2 linked regions of the Caenorhabditis elegans genome follow. Each later gene encodes a partner of the first gene's protein in a complex. Each region holds a gene or a part of one and is shown in the gene's direction. Other genes may lie near its edges.

Region 1 (3,306 bases):
GTGGAGAACTTTTCGGTCTTTCAAGTATTATGGCGTAAGTTAATTTATTTCAGAATTTCTTTTTTATATTGAAACTTTAGCCCTACTCATATTTTCATATTAAATTTTGTATTAAAAATCGGAATTTTAAAATGTAAACTTAAGGTCTAGAGATTGAAGATACTAATATGAAAAGTTTTGGCAAAAACCGTAATTCTCTTCCAGAGCTGTAAAACTGAAACAAAATATAACTAGAACTAATTTTCAATAAAATTTTTGCAGAATTGTATTTTGTGGTGCTGCCATGCGTCAGTACTGCCGTGAAAATGTGGACCCAGACACGGTAAAAGCCACAGAATCATTCATCAAAGTGCTTTCTCTTGCATCGGAAACAGTTATCTTTGTCTTTTTGGGACTCTCAACAGTATCCTCAAACCATCACTGGGACACATCTTTCATCGTTCTTACTGTAGTTTTCTGCTTGATCTACCGTACCCTTGGAGTTGTTGTTATGTGCTATTTCTTGAATAAGTATCGTCTGAATAAGTACACAAAGGTGAGAATTAATTTGTGTTATTTGATAAAAAAAAGTATATGTTTCATACAGGTAGACCAATTTATCATGGCTTATGGAGGTCTTCGTGGTGCCATTGCATACGGTCTTGTCGTTGCAATTCCAGATTTTATACCCGGAAAGAATATGTTTGTCACCAGTTGTATCATTGTCATCTACTTCACTGTATTCCTCCAGGTATCTTTTTAAACAATCTAGCTATATTTTATACCCGTGATGTTTTTAAAAAACATACCTTACTATTACTTTTCAGCATTTCATTTACATAGCCTTCTAATGTGCCTAGTTAAATTTTGAAAAAAAATCTGGATTATTTCCAATACTTCTAAAATAGATTTTTAACATTTTCAGGGAATTACACTGAAACCAATTGCCGAATTCCTACAAGTTGAGAAAAAGAATGTTCACTCAAAGAACATGATTGAGCATATTTACAGCGAAGTGAGTTTTCAGAACCAAAATTCCAGTGAAATGAAAATTATAGCTTATCGACACGACTATGGCTGGAATGGAAGACATTGCCGGTTTCAAGGGGCATCATTGGATTCGTGATTCGTGGAATGCACTCAACAATAATTATTTGAGACCAATTTTAGTTAATAAGAACAATATGAAGGAGATGGATAAGACTAAATTGGTCAGAAAGTACAAGGTATGGTAATACGCTTAATGATATTGTTATTCATAATTAATTTACAGCATTTGGTTGATGAAGATGCAAAGAAGATTGCACGTGGAGATTTAAATAGTAATATGGTATTTACAAAAGCTCTTATTGAACATACAAGAAGTCGAACAAATACAATGATGTAAGTTTCTTCAAACTTCTGAAATCAATTATTCCAAATACTTTCAGCGATGGAGTAAGTTCGACTAGTAAAATAGATTTCACCAAACACATGAAAGAGAATTTTGGAGTAACAGTCTATGATGATCATAGTACTGTACCTATGACACCAACTCATTTATTCCAAGAAACAACTGAAGTTGAATATTCGGTTCGGAGCGAAATCAACGACAATGATGGATTTGAAAACGATGGGTATGAATCGGACGAATCAGGAAGCTTCCACGAAAGAGTATAGGTTTTTTACCTTAATTTACAATTTCTTTCTGTTTTAAACTAGTCTCAAATAGGTAGACTGTGTTTTCTCAATAATGTACATTCATCGAATGAAATTTCTTTTTTTTCTGCATCTATATTCTCATATATTTTGTTAACGTTAATTAACAAGCTAAAAAAAAAGATTTTTACAAGTTTTTTAATTGCGCGCTACCGTAACAAGTTTTTTCGCTTCGAGACCCATGCCTTCAAAATGGACATGTGTCTTTAAAACTTACAGTAACGGTGTTAAAATTATTGCACACAATTTCTTCGGCTGACATTCGAATTTTCCAATTATGTCGGCTAAAAGGGAGTTTTCGCATATTACTTTGGCATCCACACCATTTAAAGTGAGTTTTATCATTTTTTCAGAATTAATAACAATAAAACTTTTTTTCAGAAAAGAATCGATCAGAATTCGTTAAAAACCGACTCGGATATTGAAAAAGACACAAATATCGCACACAAATGCGCTGAACGGTTCAACTACAATACAAATCTTCACAGAAAAGTAATAATCTATTAATGTTGATGACGAAAGCTTTTTTTAATTTTAGGTGACGTTGAGCGATCGTTTCGAGTTGGCAGCCCTTGGATACGAAATGAAAGCAAAGCCGAGAACAATCATCGAAAAACATAATGACTGCGACGAGTTTCATTTTATCTATAGGTTTGTGAAGTACCCACATATTATAACAAATGTTTTAATTTTCAGAAAAGAAAAGAAGAATGATTATGGAACTGGCTCACCACTTTCAGCCGGATTGAGCCTATCTAATCCGGTAAGAAATAAATATTAAATTCACGCATAAAATTATATCATTTTCAGTTGCCAGCTGGACGTGGATTCCTCTCTCCAGCGATTCAGAATACCAGCAACCAGTTCACCTTTTCTGGAAGTCCAAGAATTACCCCCCAGAAGCACACCCCAGTATCGGCCAATCACAAGCCAGCCAGATCCATTTTCGACGACATTCCTTCGAATATTGCATAAGTTTTCACTGTTAATTTACTGTTTTTACTGTTTCATCTTGTTTTGAGTTTATAAAAATGATGTTTCGTTGAATTCAAAAATTTTATAAATTACATTTTAAAAATAACGACATAAAGTTAAAGTTCTCGATCTTCAGTTCCACTCTCATCCGAAGACCTCCAGTTCATCGTTTCTATTTTCACTTTCACAAACATTTCCGAGTTATCAACACCAGCATTCAGTCTATAATCTTCTTCTAGATTAACTGGCTTATCGTAGATGTTAAAGCTTTTTCCTTTTCCATATGTCGTGATCGCCGTCTCTCGTAATTGTTGTTTCCTTTTAGCCCAGGCAATCCACTTCTCCTTTTCACGTTCACTCAAATGATTTTCCAGTTGAACCAGAAGCTCTTCGAATTTGTTCGTGTCCGTGATAATTTCGTTCGGCTCAATAATTTTCCTTTTCTCCATTATTTCCAAAATCATCAGAATTCGATCTTCTTCGTCACCTTCTGCATCGTCAATTATTTCTTTGATCGCTTTATGAACTGCTTCAAAATACTCCAATTCTCGTTCATCAGCTTTTCTTGCCTCAAGTGCCATGTTCTTCGTTCTTCCTTTCCATTTTGTTTCTCCTAAACCAGTCAGTACTGCAATCGGAAGACCTTCTTTTTCA
Region 2 (4,030 bases), 2.3 Mb from region 1:
ATTCTTCTTCGTCTCCTTAACCAATGTCTTCGCATAGCCGATCATCCAGTGATTCGAGTTTTGAATTTGTGAAGGAAGATGGCGAATCTCAAGTGGCAAAGATGGCATTGAAAATGGAACAGAGGTCGAAGGAAGTTCAAGATGCTTTAGATATCCTTAGCATCAATGGAGATGTTTCTTCTGACGAAGAAGCAGTATCTGTAAAAGAAGAATCTTCTGATGAAGCGGGAGTTAACACTTCCCAAGAAGTTATTCAGAATGATGATACTGAAGAATCTGAAAAATCGGAAACTATATCTCGTGAAGTGTCCAACACCGATGAATTCGGGATTGGAAACAATGTGGGATTTACTGCAAAAGTTGATGATCTTATTGAAAAAATCGCTGAAGCCGTTAAGGATCAACAAATATCAGAGACCACTGAAATTCGTTACAGTGATCCACTTGGGGCATTGGAACCTCTCGTGGGTGAACCCAACGAAATTGAAAAATCAGAACTTTTGTCTGAAATTCGCCAATTACGATCTGAAATCGAAGAGATGAAAGAAACGGAAGTGAAACAAAATTCAACGGTATAGTTTTTTGTAGGGATAAAATTAGTTGAAAATGTTTTTTTCTAGATAAGACTTCTCAAACTGAAGTTCGACGAGATTGACGAAAGGGAGAGACAGAAGGAATTACAGGTAAATTTTTGGAAGGAACTTAAGGCATCCATGGCATCGGTGGCAGGCAGGCGTACATGCCTGCCAACTCTCAATTTTTTACATTTGGAAGTGAACTCCAGTGCAATTTGAATAATGTAGAGCTACTTTGAACCAAAAAACTCCTGAAACTAAATGGATTTTAATTTTCGCAACATATTTTCTGCGCAAATATCTCGTAGCGAAACCTACAGTAACTTTTTCAATTCGAACTAAACTGAAAGATTTGGGGTTACAGTAGTCATTTACATATTACTGTGGATTTCTCTTCGAGATATTTTGAGCGTTAAATATGTTGCGTAATAGGCATTCTCAGTTGGAAATATCTACATAATAATTTAAAAAAATCATAGGCTTTAAACAAAAGATTTTGTGAAAAATCAGTCTCATTTTGGATTACAATTCGGGAGTAGCTTTCCTAAAACTCCTCCCTATCAATATATATTCCATCAAAAATTTGTTTTAATTTCCAGCGTTACACTCCGATTGCAACTGGAATCTGCGGTGCTTGGCGGCTCTCCGAGATCAATAAGTATAATGAAACACTCAAAACCCGTGGAGTATCGTTCCCAAATCGTCTGAAAACTCTTGCTGCTTACACCGTATACAACTTCGATGGTACTTATCTGAAATCTCACAATCAAGTTTTTTGTAAAACGTTTAACAGTGGCTGTTTGAAACTTGGAACTCATGAGATAACCGGTGGAATTGTTGTATCAACCTTCATTTATAGAAATAAAATGATAACAATTTGGAAGAATAAAGATGGAACTTCTTGTGTAAGAAAGGAGAGATACATTAAAGATGGAAAATTGTACAATGTGCACACAAACAATTCCGGCGAAAGGACTATACGCATTTTTGAACGAGTTCAGGGAAAATCAGATATCTTGTACTCAATTGCAAACGTCGGAGGACTCTATCTCAAATTTTGGTGATCACCTGCTTTCTTCAATCCACACAACTTGGTCTCGCAACGAAATATCATCTTAATGATTCTCAAATTCACAGCATTAATTAATTCGCTATTTTATTCAATAATTTTTAATTTTCTCCGTCCATTTGTCTTTCAAAATTTTTTAAAGCAATTTTTAATCATTTTAATCGTTCTCCGTGGGAAATAATGAATCTTTTCGAAATTCTGTGCCTGTAAATAATGATTTCAAGGGTACTGTAGTTTTTTTTAAACAAGTGCGCTCTATTGCACACCGCTGGAATACGCGCGAAAAATGGGAGATTTCATTTTTGCTCGCTTTTTTTGCATTTCAAGCATTTTTTTAAAATTAAAGCAAGAATATTTTCAGTTTCAGAATTACATTTTTTAGAGATGGCTTCCAGCTCGACCGCATATTATCTGAAAGACGCCGGATTCCATATTCGCAATATTCCGAAAGCTTGGAATGATTGGAACTTGTTCCATGTCTTCCAAAACTTTGGAAAAGTCAGTTATTGCCGTGTTGTTGGACAATCCAACGATGGTCAAGTTCAATTGGGGTAAGATAGTGAGACTCTAGAAACGATTCATTTAAAATCTTCAGATTTGTGAACATGATGTCGGTAGCAGATGCTGATGAAGTTCGCAAGAATTTGAACGACGGAAATCTGATCGGCGAAAATTTCACGTTGAAGGTGAGCGTTGCGAATATATAAATTCAAATTAAAACTGTAATTTTAAGGTTACCGATCATAAGAACGTCGGAGGATCTCTTCTCCCAATGGCTTCCAATTCCGTTCAGAAGCTTGTATCATCTCCACCATCGAAAAGCGGACCAGTTCTTCTATCATCATCCTGGCTTCCACTCAACAAGGATATCGAGGTTTCTTACTTTTCCTTCAGCTTATATTAAATTTTCAATTTAGGTCGAAGTTGTCGACTATCTTCCATCCTCATCAGTGGCTCCAGATCTTTTCGCGTTGACTCTTCTCCGCATAAATGATTCGTCAATGAAAGAAAAATATGATTCAATGCACGAGAAAATGAACGCGTATGCTCAAATTGTTCCATTCGATTCGGAGCTCGAAATTGGCTACGATGGAGTCTTCCGTGATGCTCCCCGTTCCGTTCGACGCGTTCGACGCATCTCAGCCACCAAGCTTTATCTCGTTGATTTTGGAAAAATTATCAATTATGAGAAGGCAAAATGCTTCCAATTGCCAAAAGTTTTCCAGTCGATGCCGACAAGGGTAAGAGTTCCATTCAAATGTTTAACATATTTTTTCTATTTATTTTCAGGTTTCCTTGTGTGGACTAGATGGTCTTACCTGGTCACCAGTCGCCATTCCATCATTTGATAATATTCGCGAGGTTGTTAAAAAATGGGGACAAATGGAAAATTCGACGCTTCACGCCATGGCTTGTGGATTTCAAGGCTCTATTAACATGATCAATCTGTTCTGTGGAAAATGTGCGTTTTTTCTTTTGAAAATTCCCCTCATAATAATTTTTACAGCGATTCTTGCTGACCGTCTTCAACGTAAAGGTGTCTGTGAATACTTGCCACGCAGTCAGCAGCCACACTATGCATACTCCCGCGAGACTCTTCTTCAGCACAATAATTCTGGAGTGGTGAGATTTGATGATTTAAAGGGATTTTCAGTTTTAATTTGGCTTTATTTTCAGACTGCTCAAATTTCGAACGATGCTGATGTCGTCAAAGATCTACTCAAGAAGATTGATGGAGTGAAGAACATGCTCCGTGAGCTCGAGCTGTAAATCTGTCCCATTTTTTTTGTCGAAATTACATTGAATCTATGATGTTGTCAAAAAAATGAACATTTTAATTCAGTGTCAGATTTTATAAGAACAACAACAAGAAAAATAACAACGAGAAAACAACAAAAAGAAAAGAAAATCAACAAGAAAAAAATCAAGAAACTTTGAAAAGTGAAAACTAATCGCTGTTCCAGGCGTCGTAATTCAAGAAGTTGGTTACAACATTGTGTCGCATCCTTTCCATCTTGCCGGAAGCTTCACGAATTTTTCCTGCCAATTCAGAGGAAGATCCGTTTTTAAGCGTCTGAAATGAAATTAATATTATATTTTGATAACATTGTTCGCGGTTACATTAGCGCTCATGGCCAGGGTAACACCGTCCAGAACGATTCCGATGGCTGCAACGCTCTGCAGCATTCCTTTCATAAGTGCATTCGTGAGATGGCCCTAAAAACGAAGGTAAAAATTTAAATTTCAAAAAAACAACTATTCTACCATGGAAGATGCGGCCATTTTAATTCCGAATCCTGTGATTCCGGCGAGAGAAACACCAAAAAGTGTTTTCAAATGAGACTGGACATCGTCGAAGTTTTTGAAAATCTTTGACGATTGCTTG

The links. The genes of interacting proteins can lie anywhere in the genome.
Region 2: pid-1 (region 1) and tofu-6 share a complex: the UniProt entries of both Caenorhabditis elegans proteins name them as parts of the pid-1 variant of the PETISCO complex.

What each region holds. Positions count from the first base shown.
Region 1 is NC_003280.10:7,689,152-7,692,457, reverse strand, and holds pid-1 (Protein pid-1), read left to right. Parts: upstream 1-1,901; 5' UTR 1,902-1,954; coding exon 1,955-2,008; intron 2,009-2,058; coding exon 2,059-2,169; intron 2,170-2,215; coding exon 2,216-2,328; intron 2,329-2,373; coding exon 2,374-2,440; intron 2,441-2,487; coding exon 2,488-2,652; 3' UTR 2,653-2,768; downstream 2,769-3,306. Other genes in the region: nhx-2 (Na(+)/H(+) exchanger protein 2), read left to right, coding at 1-34, 262-535, 587-730, 905-994, 1,038-1,205, 1,253-1,362, 1,410-1,638; F18A1.1 (Receptor L-domain domain-containing protein), read right to left, coding at 2,769-3,306. UniProt on the Caenorhabditis elegans protein: Component of the pid-1 variant of the PETISCO complex which is required for the biogenesis of a class of 21 nucleotide PIWI-interacting RNAs (piRNAs) that possess a uracil residue at the 5'-end (also called 21U-RNAs).
Region 2 is NC_003280.10:5,419,251-5,423,280, forward strand, and holds tofu-6 (Embryonic developmental protein tofu-6), read left to right. Parts: upstream 1-1,997; 5' UTR 1,998-2,028; coding exon 2,029-2,195; intron 2,196-2,239; coding exon 2,240-2,330; intron 2,331-2,377; coding exon 2,378-2,518; intron 2,519-2,561; coding exon 2,562-2,885; intron 2,886-2,934; coding exon 2,935-3,106; intron 3,107-3,151; coding exon 3,152-3,267; intron 3,268-3,321; coding exon 3,322-3,414; 3' UTR 3,415-3,487; downstream 3,488-4,030. Other genes in the region: EEED8.15 (PHR domain-containing protein), read left to right, coding at 24-572, 621-683, 1,175-1,639; F07F6.7 (Apolipoprotein L, 1), read right to left, coding at 3,593-3,718, 3,766-3,861, 3,910-4,030. UniProt on the Caenorhabditis elegans protein: Component of the pid-1 and tost-1 variants of the PETISCO complexes, which have roles in the biogenesis of a class of 21 nucleotide PIWI-interacting RNAs (piRNAs) that possess a uracil residue at the 5'-end (also called 21U-RNAs) and embryogenesis, respectively.